Drosophila melanogaster: one gene and its partner. The protein of the gene in region 1 purifies or fractionates together with the protein of each later gene. This does not show direct contact. Each region holds a gene or a part of one and is shown in the gene's direction. Other genes may lie near its edges.

Region 1 (4,636 bases):
CGATTCCGTCATCCTTCAGCGCGTGTTTCATTAGCTCGTAGTAGCTTTCCTGAAACAGGCTCACTGCCGGACCAATGGGATCCGAGCTGTCGGTGATGATGACATCAAATTCGTTCTTGTGTTTCTTCATATAGTCGAATCCATCGCCAATGGTAAGCTTCAACTTCTCGTTGGCGAAACCACAGGCCATCGCTGGGAGATATTGCTTGGACAGCTCGACGACACGGTCGTCGATTTCCACCTGATGCACTTCCTCGACCAGTGGATGCTTTACCACCTCGCGAGCAACGCCGCCATCGCCACCGCCCACGATCAGGACCTTTTTGGGATTGGGATGGGCGCAGAGCGGCAGGAAAGATATCATCTCCTGGTACGAGAACTCATCCCTGGCCGTGCACTGAATGATTCCGTCCAGAATTAGGCACCGTCCATAGGTTTCGCTGTAATAGAATTATCGAATTATTGATTTTTTCAGCGGCGCAAGTGTACCCAATGTTCGACTGGAGGAACTCAAACCTGAAAGACGAGCTGACTTGCTATCAGTATTCTGTCTGTCGTTTTTGGCCCTAGATGACTCCATCGATAAGGCTGTTGGTGCAGATCAAGAATAAACACACGAAAACCAAAGGGTCCGAAAATGCTGGCTGGGCAATTTGTGTTTGAACAACCAGTGGAAAATTTTCGATTTCTACAATCTATGATTTAGGGACCTTCAATGTAGGATACATATGGGATTAGGCTATTGTAGGTTAGTCCTTAAAATCTCAACAGCTTAAGCTGTTAAAAATTTCGGATTTGTGTGACTTGCGTGTTTATAATGATTTTAATTTAGTTTTTTAATCTCAATCTAAGCTAATTTATTTTGACATCTATCTTCAAACTTCAGTCTAGACTGAGGAATTTCGGATGTAAACAAATGGGGTTGTGTGTCCAAGTATTTGTTTATCTATTATTTATCTTACGTTTCAACGATCTGGATGTCTTGGAACCGGGACTTCTCCTTGTGGATGACCTCCTTGACTTTCAGGGAGAATGACTGACCGGGCCAGAGATCGGCCTGCAGTTCGCTGAACCATCCGTTGTTAAGGGAATCCATTTGTTTAATGCCGCATTCGAATCGGCGTTTGATAAGATTGGCTCAACACGTGGGCTCGACACGAACTTACCGTATCTGCCACAAAGCTAGGTCTTAAAAAATACCTTAGAAGGTCTATTGGTATAAATACCAAAGCTTTTTTGTTTTAATTAATTTAATTTCACTTTTCTATTTCTGGCTATTTATCTTTTTTATTAATATAATACATTTCCAGCGAAAATTGTAATTTTTTAATGTAATAAAGTCAAATGTAAAAGTTAGCACTTATAGATAAAAAAGTTCCTAAAATTAACGAAATACAGGTGCAAAGTTTTGGAATTCCTTTATTTGTTTTTGATTTGTATTATAATGTATAATTAACATTCTAACTTTTTAAATACTATGAACTTTATCGGGTGAAAACTTAATTGTTAACATGTGATGTAAGTGTGAGTTAAAATTTTCAAAACCCTTAAGCCGTTAAAAAGCTTAGGAATGTTCTGGAAGCACAACTGTTCTTCCTGTAACTACTACAATTGTTAAGTAGTAGAAGAATTGTTATTGGAGTAATTTTATGTTTTCTTAGCTTAGCCTGCTGCAAGTGATTAATTGTATGCCAGAATATATTAATTTTATATATTTTATAATTTAATTTAATTAGCAAACGGTCACTTTAGTGTTTCTAATTCCAGCTCAAGCAATCGATAGCGACAGGGCAGCATGCGATTGCTTATCGAAATCAGCCCTGGCCGGTGAAAAAGAATACGTAGACATCCCTGATTGGCCTGATTTGGGCCAATGAAAACGTTCCAGCAAACCAATTTCAGTAACAAGCCGTCCCGCTCCGACACGCACGATTTAGATGCAATAAATAAATAGCACTTTCTTGCCGGCATTTAGTACTTAACTTTAACCGAGTTCGGACAACCATCGGAGTTGGAAGAGTCAGTCCAAAAAGTGGTGCGGGATCGTTCACATGATGTGGTGCAAAACAGTGATAGTGTTGCTGGCGACAGTCGGCTTTATTAGTGCCGAGGTTTATCTGAAGGAGAATTTCGACAACGGTAAGTGGTAGTCATCGCGTTCTATGGCCGCCATGTGGTCCTCCGCTCCCCTTCAATGAATAACGAAAGGAGAGACAATAAAAATAGAAGAATAATAAAAGCACTCCCCCGCTTGTTCCCGTAGAAAACTGGGAGGATACGTGGATCTACAGCAAACATCCTGGCAAGGAGTTCGGAAAATTCGTCCTCACCCCCGGTACCTTCTACAACGATGCTGAGGCCGACAAAGGTAGCGTATATGTGTCGATGTGTCGTCACTCCCTTTTCCAAATCTTTCTCTTCGCTCGTTCTGCCATTTTTATTTTTCGTCGGCGTGTTATCTGCATTTGTATGTGCCCGTGTATGCGGAGAACATGGGCACGAAGAAGAAGAGGAAGAAGAAGAAAAACCACTACGTGTACGTTTTCGAGTAGCTATAGTAACTGTATACACATTTTTTCTCGCCCCCCACCTCCGCGCGGCGCGCATTCGTATTGATGTGGACACACATTATATAGGCATTCAGACCTCTCAGGATGCTCGATTCTACGCGGCCAGCCGCAAGTTTGATGGCTTCTCCAACGAGGACAAGCCCCTCGTGGTGCAGTTCTCCGTGAAGCACGAGCAGAATATCGACTGCGGCGGCGGCTATGTGAAGCTGTTCGACTGCTCCCTCGACCAGACCGACATGCACGGCGAGTCGCCGTACGAGATCATGTTCGGCCCGGACATCTGCGGACCCGGCACCAAGAAGGTCCATGTGATCTTCAGCTACAAGGGCAAGAACCACCTAATCAGCAAAGACATCCGCTGCAAAGATGACGTGTACACCCACTTCTACACGCTGATTGTCAGACCCGACAACACGTACGAGGTGCTCATCGACAACGAGAAGGTGGAGTCTGGCAACCTGGAGGACGACTGGGACTTCCTGGCCCCCAAGAAGATCAAGGATCCCACCGCCACCAAGCCCGAAGACTGGGACGATAGGGTAAGTTGTAAATCCCCGCCCAAATCAGACTTTAGCCCATCGAAAAACCGGTTTGGCTCATTGTTATTAAACAACAACGTAAATCTCTGTAGGCCACCATTCCCGATCCCGATGACAAGAAGCCCGAGGACTGGGACAAACCAGAGCACATTCCCGACCCAGATGCCACAAAGCCTGAGGATTGGGACGATGAGATGGACGGCGAGTGGGAGCCACCGATGATCGACAACCCTGAGTTCAAGGGCGAGTGGCAGCCAAAGCAGCTGGACAACCCCAACTACAAGGGCGCCTGGGAGCATCCCGAGATCGCCAATCCCGAGTATGTGCCCGACGACAAGCTGTATCTGCGCAAGGAGATCTGCACCCTGGGCTTCGATCTCTGGCAGGTCAAGTCCGGCACTATCTTCGACAACGTCCTGATCACGGACGACGTGGAGCTGGCCGCTAAGGCTGCTGCCGAAGTCAAGAACACCCAGGCGGGCGAGAAGAAAATGAAGGAGGCCCAGGATGAGGTGCAGCGCAAGAAGGACGAGGAGGAGGCGAAAAAGGCTTCCGACAAGGACGATGAGGACGAGGATGATGACGATGAGGAGAAGGATGATGAATCTAAGCAAGACAAAGATCAAAGCGAACACGACGAATTGTAAGGACGTCTAGGGAAAATTACGTCGAGAAATATTCGGTATTTTTTGTGTGTTGGTAGCTGCTTTGATGTTCTAAGCAAACGGAAACCACAATTACAATTTGTAAGACTTATAATTTATAAACATACAACTTGTTGTTTTTTTCCATTGCTCTTTTCGAGCGATTTAAGGGTTGTTTAGCTTGTTTATCAAAATGGTGGTGCCACGTGAACAAATCACGGCCGAATGGCAACGCTGTCTATATCGTCGTGTCTACATCGAATTTTGATTTACAGAAAAACGGTGTTGCCACTCCAAATGGTTTTCAAAGTGCTGTTCGAATTCTACGAAAATATAAATCCTAAATTCAATTAAATCCCAATATGAACTATAGAAACAATGAGATATAAACATAACCGAATCCTAATTTATTTATTCGAGTAAGCCGTGGTATTTGGTCAAGAATTTAAGGTATCACTTTAGCTTTAGCTTTTGATCTCCATCCCGATGCTTGCCCAGAAAGTGCCGCTTCAGATGATGTTTCTCCCGGAAGTCCTGCAGGCAGATGGAACACTTGTAGGGCCGTTCATCCGAGTGGCGTCGTCGGTGCTTCGCCAGGTTATTGTTGTCCGAAAAAGTCTTGGGGCAGTGGGGGCATTGGTAGGGCTTCTCGCCCGTGTGTATGCGGATGTGGACCTTAAGGGCCTGCTTGGAACGGAAGTTGGACACGCAGAAGGGACAGGCATGCGGCCGTTCGCCCATGTGCGCATGGATGTGCACCTTGAGGGCCGACTTGTTGAAGAATCCCGTTTGGCAGTATGAACATTTGTGGGGTCCGTTTCCCTGTTTCGATTCCGCGTGGATCAACAGGTGCGCCTTGAGGTTTTGTTCGCGAGTAAAGGCC
Region 2 (7,047 bases), on another chromosome or scaffold:
CTTTTTCTAGAATAGAATGACAAAACCATTTTAAAAACCTAATTTTTATGAGACTATTATAGTTTCCACGACAATTAAAAGGATGTTGGCTTCCTTGGGGTTTCTAGCTTCTTTCGGCTATCGCCGACAGCTCCGATACCGTGCACCCAGCTGCTGTTGTCGCAGGAAAAGGGCGATACCGAATCGGAATACGAATCCAGAAACTCCGAAGAGAAGGAGAAACCAGCCAAAGAAAGCGACGAAACGAAGTGGCGCAGCGCAATTAAAGGACGACCGACAATGAAAATAAAAAAAACCACCACGCAAAGGCAAAATGCATAGCAATGCAGAGGGAAAATAAAGAAAACAGAGAAAAGTGTAAACTGTAACCCAATAGCAGAACAACCACCGATAAAAGAAAACTACGCAGGATAATAATGCGTGTTCTTCTCACTCTTCCCCTTTCTTTCTTTTCTTCTTCTTCGTCGCTGCAGCGGCAGCTGTACCAGCTGTTTTCCGCACTAACACACGCACACTGCCCTCTCGATAAACCGCAACACGTGTGTATGCGTCTGCTGCTGGTGTTGCTGTCTCTGCCCACAATTATTAAATATTTAAAGCCATATACAAAACGTTTTTGGGTTTAACGTTATACTCTTTTACGTGACAAATGCCAGAGATTAGTTTAAAAAAAAGCAAACGAAATGGCAGCAGCCAAAGCGATCACACTGGTTGTCCCACTCTAGCCTGCACACGCACGCACACAAAGAAACGCACACGCACACCGTTGTGAGTTGGAATGTTGATTTCATGAAATTTTAAAAATGGTCGCATCGCATATCATTATCAGCTTTTCAGAGGAACAAAAAGTTAAACAGCTTTTCCAACAATCGCACTTACATTAATGCGTATTTTGATTTTTCCTTCCGACTGCTTTTTTGCTTTCTGCACCACTTCACACGCGCTTTATTTACTTTTTTATTGTGCCACTAGTCCGCTGGCACATACCCACTTACATTCACGTCCGTACTTCAGTTTGGGTGATTAATTTAGGTTTTCGGTTAGATATAAGTAATGTTATTGCTTGCTGGTTGTTTGAGCAGTATTCCAAAGGCCACTGAAATGCACTGTCAATAGTTGTTCGTCCTCGGCGACTCGCTAGATATAATTTACAAATTTTCGTCTCGCTTCTTAGCAAAAATGGACGACGATGCTTGCGTGACGGGACGTGAACAGAGTGACCGCATGGCGACCGCTAATATTGGTTGCCCTGCTAACGGATCTATACCAAAAAATACTTTATGGTTCTACCAAATATAGCAAAAACTTCAAATAACCGAAAAGTCTGGGGAGAACATTTTTCAATTGCATATTCTATGTACTTTCTTGAGTCCTATAACCTTAAGTCGTTTGTAGAAAGTTAGCATTATTGCATTTTTATTTTTATGGAATTCAACTCCAAGTAACAAAAAATTAATAAATAAAAAACACCCTCATGTTCTAAATTCCACCGTTCCTTGAAGCCGCTAACTCATCGACGCCAAATTAAAAATAATTTGTTCTATAATAAGAATCCTTTTCTTCTATCTTTTAAAAAACCTTAAAAAGCCTATCTTATGCTTTTTATAAATTATTATTTTATTATTACGATTATTAATCGAAGAACGTTTAAAAAATGAAAACCTTACATGGGAGCATAATAAAATTTAAGTTGTCTTAAAAATATTTAATTTTGAAATATCACTTAAGTTCAAAGTTTTTAGTATTTTAATCAAGCATCATATTTAGTATATTTGATAAGCCGGAAGGTTTTCTATAGCCGTCAATGCGCGGTCCCACCATTCAATTCAACGACAAAGTAGGAAATATTTTCCACTCCTGATATCAAATATTTTTGCACTTTTATAAGCGTCGCCAGGCAATTTTTTTATCCGCGTCTTTGCCGTTTTTACAGCCAATAAAACCAACGACCTTGCCCAGTGCGTGTGCCTTCGTCACCAGTGGAAAAACATTACGTAGGGGCGCAGGACGGAAGAAAGCAGGAAAAGAAAAGATCTATAAATATTTTTAATCGCCGTGAAAGTAGCCAGCAGATTTTAGTTGCAAAATATTATTTCATTTGCGGTGCGAGGACACAGTAATCTGCGAAAATGGTCTTGAAAGTCTACGTCAGCGGCATGTCCGGCAATAAGGAGGTGAGTTTGTGGGCGTGGCGGGCTTAAAACCGAAATAGTGTCATGTTATTGGAATGTTTGGCCCTGGTATTAGCGACAAACAGATAAAAAGGAAAAGAAGCAAACTAAAGTGGTGACGAACGCATTGCAAATTCTATTTCTTCTGCTGCGTTTCGTCTTTGTGTGTATGTACGTGAGTTGGACAATGATGATGATGTAGTGTGTGGTATGTAAGTCTGTATGTCTGTACAGTCAAAGAAAAACAAGTGGGTATTTTCGTGAGTGCCCTTGTGTGCGAGTGTTAGTGGTGGCAAGAAGCAGAACAAACATACATTTCATTGCCCATATAAGCTCATTCCACTGTGAACTGTAAATTGTTCATGGAAGAGAGGGATTTCCATTGATCGCAGTTGCGTGGGTGCGTGTGCATGTGTGTGTGTGTGTACATGCGTGAGGGGTGATTCACTTCCCCCTCTCACTCTTTCGGTGCCTTTGTTCAATTGGCAATCTTCCTCTTCCAATAAGAACAAAAACATAACGGTCATTGTACGGTTCACAATTATTTGTTTTTGTCCTGTCTTTGTACACTTTAAAAAAGCGTTGGGAAACACATATTCTTATCGTAAGATAAATGCTGGGGTGCAACAAACCATTTTAATTAGCCTTATCATATCGCGTGGTTCTGGCGTTCTTTTTACGTACATATGTTTATATCGGCGGGGAGTTGGCTTTGTGTGCGCTTGTGTGCGTTTGGGCTTGCCGGTAACACTTCATTAGCGATTTGTCATCGCTGTAATTAACAGCGTTGTCAAAGGTAGCTACACTGAACAAAACGATACATGTTAAAGGTATTTTATATACTTTAATTTTTAACTTTCTTTTCAAATTTAAATGCTTTCACTGACCGTCGAAATCCAATTTTACAGGTGAAGAAGCGCCAGCAGCGCGTTCTGATGATCCTGGACAGCAAGAACATCAAGTACGACACGGTGGACATCACGGAGCCCGGCAAGGAATCCGAGAAGGAGCTGATGCAAAACAAATCGACAAGCAACGGTGGAACGGTCAGCGATCCAGAGCCCCGTCATCCGCTTCCTCCGCAGCTGTTCAACGACGACGAGTACTGCGGTGATTACGACGCCTTTGACATGGCCAACGAGATCGATACCCTGGAGGTGTTCCTCAAGCTGGCTCCAGCCGACACCACGGCAGTTAGTACCGCCCAAATCGAACTGAAGCAGGAGAACGGCGATGCCAAGAAGGAGGAGGCGGAAACGGAGGCGGAGGATAAGAAAACGGAGGCCGGCGATGGCGATGTGGATGTCAAGGAGGAGGCTGCTGAGAAGGCCGAGGTTTGAACTTGAGCTATTTTCACGTATTTTCCGTTAACTGTTACGACGCAACAAACGCAGCCAGCAATCATCTGCAGCAGAGCAATAGAATTAACAACAACAGCAATGTCTTGAAACTAAAGCCCTTACACTTAACAGCAGAAATAACACCCAATGTTTACCTAACAGCACAGATACTACCAACTTTCTACATACATATATCAATATTTTATGGAGCCCGTCTTCGATTTCTATGCCCATAGGGATTTGGGGGAGTTGTATAGATAATTGCAGAATATGAAGTGCAATCTTCCTTTTAAATTATACAAAATTTACAAAACTAACTTTTAAAACTACGAGATTTATTTAGAGACTTTTTAGACCTTCATCGGTAGAGCATGAAATCGAAGATCTTTCAATTTTTAACGAATTCATTATGACTACTGCGGTTCTTAAGCTAAGTTCATGAGCGTATTTAAACGAGGGCATTCGATTGTGTTGGCCCCCGGTGAAAAGACAATTTTAATCAAAATATTTATATTCATTAACTGACATCCAAACAACTTGTATGTACCATTTATACACACCTGTAATAAGGACTCGGAATACTTACTCGGAGCACTTAAGCCTAAGTTGGAGTAGTGTAGAGAGCTGAAATTTATTGTGCAGCCGTTATGTTAATGCTAAAACATAAAAAAGCGCTGCCCCTGTAATAAAAGGAAATATATTTGTATTAACTAAAAAAAAAAACTATAACCAATCGCAAGCTTGTTTTTCTAACACTATGCAACACACTCAAACTCTAACACCAACTTATCAACGGCTAGTTTAACAATGAGAATGTGACAACTTAATTTACAAAAAGGCTTTTTTAATACCAAATATCTATAGAGAGATTTTCCAAAGTTGGTCTTTAGGTTTGACGAAAAAAACTTTTCACGAAAAGTACAGGAATATGGTGAATTTCAATATTCTTGAGCAATTTTGTTGCCTTAAAGACCGACTTTTTCGAAACAGTTTCGTAATGTAAAAACATTACTAACAATTGAGTGATTCTCTAAAGAACGAAGACGGCAAGGACAAGGAGAATTCAAAGGGCGAGGATGAAGACGCAGATGAAGAGAATGCCGAGCAAAAGGTAATAGATCGATAGATCCTGCATGACCGAACCATAACTCTAGGCTTTTAGAGCTTATAGGAGCTAACAAAGGCATGATCTCTTGCACTGTAGTAGCCTAGCGATTGTCTGATCTTGTAAATACAACTTCCACTTTACCCCCCCCCCCCCCAAAAAAAAAAAAAAAACGAAAAACCACCAATCAACAACCCACAAAACATTCGCACCCCTAATCCCACCACCCACAAAAAGACTGAAACCGAAGAATCTGGGGACAAGAAAACGGAGGAGAAAACTACAGGTAAAGTAGGAAGATCGTCCCTAGACTCTAATCAAAATTTCTACCCCGTAAAGACGCTGAAGGTGAGACCCAAGAAAAGTCTGAGGAAGTGGATACCAAGGAAAAATCAGAGGTTGAGAGTACCAAAGATGATGAGGTTGGAAAATCCGAGGATGTTAAAGATGATGAGGATGAAAAATCCGAGATTGTAAAAGATGATAAGGAAAACTCCCAGGATGTTAAGGATGATAAAACTGAAAAATCCGAGGATGTTAAAGATAAATTAGAGGGAAGTGAGGAGACCGCAGAAACATCGGAGGATGCTGACACTACTGAGAAACCAGATGTTGAGGCCACCAATGATGATGGGGATACAAAATCGGAGAAAAACGAGACGCAAGAAAAGTCCGAGGAAGTTGATGCCGTTGAAGAATCAGAGGCCGAAAGCTCCAAGGAAAAAACGGAGGAAAATGACACCAAAGGCACCAAAGTCAATGAGAATGATAAAGACGAGGATGTTGAAGAAAAGACCGAGGAAAATGCAACAGAAGAGTCCGCGGACTCGGATAGTGCTACCAAATCAGAGGTTAAAAGTACCGAAGATGATGAGGTTGTAGAATCGGAGGATGTGAAAGATGAATTCGAAGAAAATGAGACCAACAAAAAGGTCGAGGAAGTTGGTAGTACTGAAATATCCGAGGTTGTAAGTACGGAAAACGAAAAATTTGAAGATATTAAAGAAAATCCTAATGAAAATGAGGCTCAAGAAAAGCCCGAAGAAGTTATGACTGCCGAAAGATCTGTAGAGGAAACCAAAGAGGAAGAACCAATCGACGAGGAAAAACCTGCAGAAACGAAGACAGAAGACACGCCCGAAAATGAAGAAAGCAAACCGGATGGCGAGAATTCCTCTTCCGAAGAAAGCGAAGAAGAGTAAAAGAAAATCGATTGAACGACAACAAAAAACGCACTGACATCCGCATCACAAACACCAATGCACAAAACGCACACATACACACACACGCACATAAAAAAACGCACATTTAGCCAAATAATACCAAAAATGTTTTGTAAATAGAAACAAGAACCCACTAATAACGAGTCTGGTGACGGGTAATGAACCCTAGTTTAGGCCTTTATGTGACTTATTTACAATTTTTACTCCTTTCCCAAAACAAACAACAAAAAACTCGCTGCTGTCTACAACAACAATGAAAGAAGTTACCAGCGACCACAACAACAACAGCAGCATCAGCTAAGAAGACTTCAGATTCCCAATCGGATCTCTTATTGGACAGCGAGCGGGCAGCGGCTGCGCAGTAGGCGTCGACGTCAGCGCAGACAGAGGCAGCGCCAACTTTGATTTAAATTATTTTTATGATTTCCACAAACTATTCGGGCTTGTTGCAATTCTCACTTGTTTTTGCTGATTTATTATTTTATGTGTCGATACTCTAACAATGATACAACCGTTTTTTATTTATTACAAAATTAATTTACTTTTGCGCTAAAATATATTCAAATTCTAAAAGCTGTAAGCAATTAGTTTATCCAAAGGCTTAGCAAAAATGTAATAAAAAAAAAAACTTAAAAATTGCTAAGGTTTAGGCGTGGTCAATAACTTGAATGGTTTAAATTAAAGTAATTGTGATGCTATTTATTTAATTGAATAAAATGTTAATCTAGAAATTCAGCAAATTGTGCAGTAAATTTATGTTAATTCAGCATTAAAGTGAGCGAAAGTAGCAACAAGCCCGTGGGTTTTTCTTTCTCAGTTTATAACACAACAAAAGAGTAGTAATATCAATAGACTTTTGTATTTACGTGTCTCACTTTTAGTTCTTGTATCCAAATAATTAAATATACAGTACATTATAATTATGTTTAGTACAGTACACGGTAAAATGAAGTTATAGTTATTTACGCACTAGTTCGGGGTCTTTTCCATTACAAAACTAGTAAAAATGCGAAGGAAGGGTTCGCATTGGTGTGCCTCCGCCACGCGCCACGCGAAACTCATTTACTAAAAGGAAAACAAAGAGGCTTCTCTTCCGTCCCAGTGAATTAGAGAGGAGGTTGAGGTTGATTGGGGTTCAGGACGTCTATCCATCCGTCCGTCCGTCCGTCGCACTGTCCATGTAGACAGTGGATTTATTCGCCGTCCTC

What was found. The genes of interacting proteins can lie anywhere in the genome.
Region 2: the proteins of Calr (region 1) and Sh3beta purify together in Drosophila melanogaster (affinity purification with mass spectrometry, with the first as the bait; one large-scale study listed by BioGRID). This does not show direct contact.

The regions. Positions count from the first base shown.
Region 1 is NT_033777.3:9,628,181-9,632,816, reverse strand, and holds Calr (calreticulin), read left to right. Parts: upstream 1-1,965; 5' UTR 1,966-2,051; coding exon 2,052-2,139; intron 2,140-2,263; coding exon 2,264-2,368; intron 2,369-2,376; exon of another isoform or gene 2,377-2,562; intron 2,563-2,636; coding exon 2,637-3,109; intron 3,110-3,201; coding exon 3,202-3,756; 3' UTR 3,757-4,126; downstream 4,127-4,636. Other genes in the region: SpdS (spermidine synthase), read right to left, coding at 1-440, 963-1,096; CG8319 (uncharacterized protein), read right to left, coding at 4,207-4,636. UniProt on the Drosophila melanogaster protein: Molecular calcium-binding chaperone promoting folding, oligomeric assembly and quality control in the ER via the calreticulin/calnexin cycle.
Region 2 is NT_037436.4:7,364,017-7,371,063, reverse strand, and holds Sh3beta (Sh3beta), read left to right. Parts: upstream 1-1,803; 5' UTR 1,804-2,129; coding exon 2,130-2,174; intron 2,175-2,873; exon of another isoform or gene 2,874-2,992; coding exon of another isoform or gene 2,993-3,001; intron 3,002-3,079; coding exon 3,080-3,505; coding exon of another isoform or gene 3,506-3,511; exon of another isoform or gene 3,512-4,223; intron 4,224-4,547; coding exon 4,548-4,622; intron 4,623-4,853; coding exon 4,854-4,902; intron 4,903-4,955; coding exon 4,956-5,818; 3' UTR 5,819-5,994; intron 5,995-6,099; coding exon of another isoform or gene 6,100-6,204; 3' UTR 6,205-6,480; downstream 6,481-7,047. Other genes in the region: Sec63 (secretory 63), read right to left, coding at 7,033-7,047.